Linked DNA regions of Kluyveromyces lactis. Each later gene encodes a partner of the first gene's protein in a complex. Links are inferred from orthologs where the notes say so. Each region holds a gene or a part of one and is shown on either strand. Other genes may lie near its edges.

Region 1 (2,938 bases):
GTCCGCGGGGTTATTATTATTATTATTATTAATTGATTTAATAATATTATTATATTTATTAAACATAATATTATTAATATTATTAATATATGTTTGACTAATTAATTTATCATTTAATTTAGGCATATTATTCATTAAATTTTTAATTCTATTCATTGATAAACTTCTTTTAGAAGATGAATTCATAATTTTTAATGATTTAGCTAAAATATCACTATTCATATAATTATATTTTAATTGAATAGGTTCAAATGATACATCTTTATTATAATATAATGATAAAATATTACTAATACTATTAATGTTATTATTTAATAAATTAATTAATTTACTATTAATATTAAATTTATAATTACTATAAATATTATTAATTAAATTATTGTTATTATTAATATTTTTATTAATATTTTTATATGATAAATAATAGAAAAATTTAATATTAACTTTATTAATACTATGTTCAAAGATAGGTTTAGAAATAATTAATTTATAAATTTTATTATTAATATTTAATACTAATAATTTTGTTAATAATTTAGTTACTAATCTATCATAAATAGTATTATTAATTTCTTCAGTTTTATTAAATTTATAAATTTGAGATGATCAAGAATTAATATTATTTAAATGTTGTAATTTTACACCTTTATTACTTAATTCATTTAAATAATCTCAAATATAAGTTTTATTTAAAGATCTATTTAATCTTTTATTATTTAATAATAATAATAATTCTTTTATAGAATTTAAATTGTTTATATTATTAATATTTTTAATAATATTTAAATTTGTTGTATGTTTATTCATTGTATTTATATTTATTTATATATATTGATCGTATAATATATATATATAAAACTATATATATATTATTATTAAATTATTAAAAAATTTAACATGTTTATTATATTTACTACTTATAAATATAAAATAAAATATTTATTATATATTTTATAAATTATGTATATTCCGCGATATCATCATATGATGATATCGCGGGAAAGAGATAAATTCCCGCGGATCCTCTACTGGTAATACCAGTAGAGGATCCGCGGGGTAAGATAATATATTCTATTTATAATTATTATTAAAGAGATAATCTATTTTATTTCCCCCCCCCCCAATCTCATATTATGAGATTGGGGGGAATCGATATATAAACCCCGGACGCCATCGTCCGACCGTAGGGTCGGACGAGGCGTCCGGGGAATTGTATTTATTTATATAGATCTATTATATATAATAATATAATTATTAATCGCCAAATACCCCTATTATAGGGGTATTTGGCGATACTAGATATATATTTAATATTACTAATAATATACTATATATAAATAGTTTTCATAATTAACTTTTCCCCATTGCGGACTCCTCCCTTCGGGGGGGGGGGAGTCCGCAATGGGGTTTATAAGTAAGTATAATATAATAATAATTATATTAAAATATAAATATTATCATATATATATATATTATATATATATATTAAGTAATATTATTTCTATAAATTAAATTAACATTTAAATTTATAAATGTATAGATTATAAAAATATTTATGACACATTTAGAAAGAAGTAGACATCAACAATTTCCCTTTCATTTAGTAGCTCCATCACCATGACCAATTGTAGTATCATTTGCATTAATGTCATTAGCATTATCATTAGCTTTAACTATGCATGGATATATTGGACATATGTATTTAATTTATTTATCAATTTTAACAGTAACATTAAGTGCTACATTATGATTTAGAGATATTATTGCTGAAGCAACATATTTAGGAGATCATACAATTGCTGTTAGAAAAGGTATTAATTTAGGTTTCTTATTATTCGTAGTATCAGAAATTTTAATTTTCGCTGCATTATTCTGAGCTTATTTCCATTCAGCTATGAGCCCTAATATTGAATTAGGTGGTGTATGACCTCCAGTTGGTATTCAAGCTGTACAACCTACAGAATTACCTTTATTAAATACTATTATCTTATTATCTTCAGGTGCTACTATTACATATAGTCATCATGGATTAGTAGGTGGTAATAGAAAAAATGCATTATCAGGATTATTAATTACATTCTGATTAATTGTTATTTTTGTTACTTGTCAATATATCGAATATACTAATGCTACTTTCACAATTACTGATGGTGTATATGGATCAGTATTCTATGCTGGTACAGGATTACATTTCTTACATATGGTTATGTTAGCAGCAATGTTAGGTATTAATTATTGAAGATTAAGAAACTATCATTTAACAGCTACTCATCATGTAGGTTATGAAACAACAGTGTTGTACTGCCATATTTTAGATATCATTTGATTATTCTTATATATTGTATTCTACTGATGAGGTGTATAACTCATCAGTACAATATATAAGAATATCTTTAAACAATAATATTCTTACCTTTTTTATATTAAATATATAAATAAATATATAATATAATATTAATATAATACTATTATAAGTATTGCCCGCGGCAATCCTAAATAGGATTGCCGGGGAATTAGAACTACCCGTGGCACCCCCCCAAGTATATCCTAAAAAGCCCCCCGTCAAATATATTATAATGTGTCCTAGATATATTTATTTATTATGACGACTATTAATAATATGAAGTACAAGCCCAATGTCATCAGGGGGGAGGGGGGGGATTTTTTTTTTTTTTTAAAAAAATAGTTCGTAGCGTACTATCATTTTTTTTTTTTTTGGGGGGGGGGGGGAGGGTGAAAAAAAAAAAAAACCCCCCCCCTCCTCTTATTATCCCTCATATCCGAAGTGGTACTTAACTCTAAGAATAAGACACTAGTTTTTTATTTATAATCGTTATATATCTTTTTCCTCGCTCTCTTTTTGTTAATATTGATTATTCTTTTCTTTTTATTTTATTATTGTTATTAAATTTTATTTTCCTATATATATTTATTCATT
Region 2 (2,225 bases), on another chromosome or scaffold:
AAACGATAACTTCGATCTTCACCTCATTATCAAGATGAACGGACATTTACATACGGTTATACCGAAAAAATCCAATGCGGATCATTTACGAATCGTGGGCAGAGTGCTTGATTCCACAGTATGCACGATATGCCACGATTATATGTTTGTACCAGTCATGACGAGCTGTGGACACAACTATTGTTACGAATGTTTGAATAACTGGTTGAACAACAATCGATCCAACGTATCAGAATTAACGTGTCCGCAATGTCGAAATGTGATTACCAATGAACCATCGTTGAACGTTGCCTTACAACAAATAGTCGATCTGATGCTAGATATAGCAGCGGAGGACCCACAGAAATCGAATTCCTCCGAAGTACGATCACTGCTCACACAAAGAGAATGCTCCGTTGCTGAATACAAGTCTGACCTGTTGGAAGAAACGCTATTCAACAGTGTGTTTAAGAATACTGCCAAAGCCATCATAGACGATGATGACGATGGGATAGCAAGGTGTAGCAATTGCCAATGGGAAGTTGAGGGTCCCGTGTGTCCTAACTGCAATGCTACGATACGGAATTATAATGCGGGTGCACAGAACTTCGACGAAGTTGATGTGGATGAGTACTCTGACGGAGAACTGGAAGAGGTTGAGAGAGATTTGGACAATTATAGAGCCGAGAGTGCACGTACTGTGCACGATTTGGAAGCCGAAGAGGGAGATGAGAGTCTCAGTTCAGAGATGGACCAGGCATGGCCCACAAGACGGCCTAGGAACTTTATGCATGGAGAAGAAGAAGAGGAGGAAGAGGAAGATAGAGGATCGATAGATTCGTTCATAGTGGATGAGGAAGAAGAAGAAGAAGAAGAGGAAGAGGAACAAGAATTGAAAGATGAACGGAAGTTCCGTAGAGCATCTGTTGCCCTCTCAGATGACGATGACAACGAATCTCGCGACAGTGATTTCTACGAACATAATGACGATGGATACGCGAGTGGTGACTCCCTTGACGAAAGTACTAGTAACGACGAACTAGAACCGCACACCATCCGTCTCACTCATAGTCAAGACAACAACAACAACAACAACAACAACTCCGCGCGTAAGAAACGTCTCATAGTCCTAGACTCTGATGAGTAACAATAACAGCGTATATACACCTTGTACAACCTTCTAACGATACTAAAAGTCACGTGTAAACCACCATCACGTGCAACAACCCCGCAGTTACCCTGAATGTCCCCGTATCTTTTCCCAGCCTATGGAGTTTTCGCTGTTTAGAGGGAAGTTGAATTTTCACACCACTCGAAAGCCAGTAGGGGAATATCAGATACTGAGATTAAAAAAAATTTTGGAAGAAATAAACTGTTATGATAGTTAGTTTACACTTGGTGAATACAGTTTTCGATTTGATTCATAGTATTTGTATATTTTGTTTGTTGTTCATCGATTGCCAATACATTTGTTTAATCATAGCCCCAAACATTGAACGATGCCTTCTCCAAGCAAAATTATTGAACTACAAAAGCTGTTCCAACACTCTTCTAAGCCATTGTGGTCTAGACATCCAAGATCGGCTTTCTACTTGTACCCATTCTGGGGTTTGTTTACTGTGGCCCTTGTTGCTCCATTGCTATACATTCCAAATGCTATCATGGGTATTAAGGCTAAGAAGAACTAAGAACTGTTACGTTGTGTATGAATGAATGAATGAAATCCCGAGAGGTTTTTTCGTTAATTATTTTATTATCAAGATACGTCCAAAAATATCCCATATTCACTTTCCCTTATGTTATTACCATGTTAAAAGAGCGAACGAATGAACGAAAATGCACAGCAACAGTATTAGGAAGATATGTTCTTTGCTTCTCTTGTTGAGAAATCTGTTTGTTTCAAATATATATATTTAATTCCAAGACCAGGTCAAGAAATGGAAGAATGGCCTACACCCAGTGTTGAATCCTGACTTCCAGTCAATCTTTATATTAATCAATTTATTATTGGCGCTTTAGCGAAGGAGTATGCGTGGTTTTATTCATGGTCACAATACTCCGAAGTTGTTGCACTATTATTTAGAAAGAATAAGTTAAAAATAAAATACTATAATATATTTTTAAGTAAGACTTTCCGGACAGTACGTTATATCACCCTGATCTGAGTGTTTTCGGCGTATTTGATGGTCCGTTAGCACTTGGTAGCTACCGTGTTCCCTTTTACGTGGTATTGTATTCGTTAGTTC

Evidence for each region.
Region 2: the proteins of COX3 (region 1) and COX7 are in contact, whole or in part, in a cryo-EM structure (PDB 8DH6), measured with the Saccharomyces cerevisiae proteins. The link is inferred for Kluyveromyces lactis from reciprocal best matches to the Saccharomyces cerevisiae genes COX3 and COX7. Residues at the interface, in NP_009328.1 of Saccharomyces cerevisiae: Met18, Pro19, Ser20, Pro21, Trp22, Val25, Phe28, Ala29, Ser32, Leu35, Ser36, Leu39, His42, Gly43, Tyr44, Ile45, Gly46, Met50, Leu53, Phe56, Val57, Thr60, Ser61, Leu64, Arg67, Asp68, Ala71, Glu72, Thr74, Tyr75; in NP_013983.1 of Saccharomyces cerevisiae: Ala2, Asn3, Val5, Leu8, Gln9, Phe12, Gln13, Leu19, Trp20, Arg22, His23, Arg25, Ser26, Tyr29, Leu30, Phe33, Ile36, Phe37, Val39, Ala40, Val41, Thr43, Pro44, Leu45, Tyr47, Ile48, Ala51, Gly54, Ile55, Lys56.

The regions. Positions count from the first base shown.
Region 1 is NC_006077.1:36,984-39,921, forward strand, and holds COX3 (cytochrome c oxidase subunit 3), read left to right. Parts: upstream 1-1,555; coding exon 1,556-2,365; downstream 2,366-2,938. Other genes in the region: VAR1 (ribosomal small subunit protein), read right to left, coding at 1-822. UniProt on the Saccharomyces cerevisiae protein: Component of the cytochrome c oxidase, the last enzyme in the mitochondrial electron transport chain which drives oxidative phosphorylation.
Region 2 is NC_006038.1:767,774-769,998, forward strand, and holds COX7 (cytochrome c oxidase subunit VII), read left to right. Parts: upstream 1-1,478; coding exon 1,479-1,667; downstream 1,668-2,225. Other genes in the region: ubiquitin-protein ligase PSH1, read left to right, coding at 35-1,126. UniProt on the Saccharomyces cerevisiae protein: Component of the cytochrome c oxidase, the last enzyme in the mitochondrial electron transport chain which drives oxidative phosphorylation.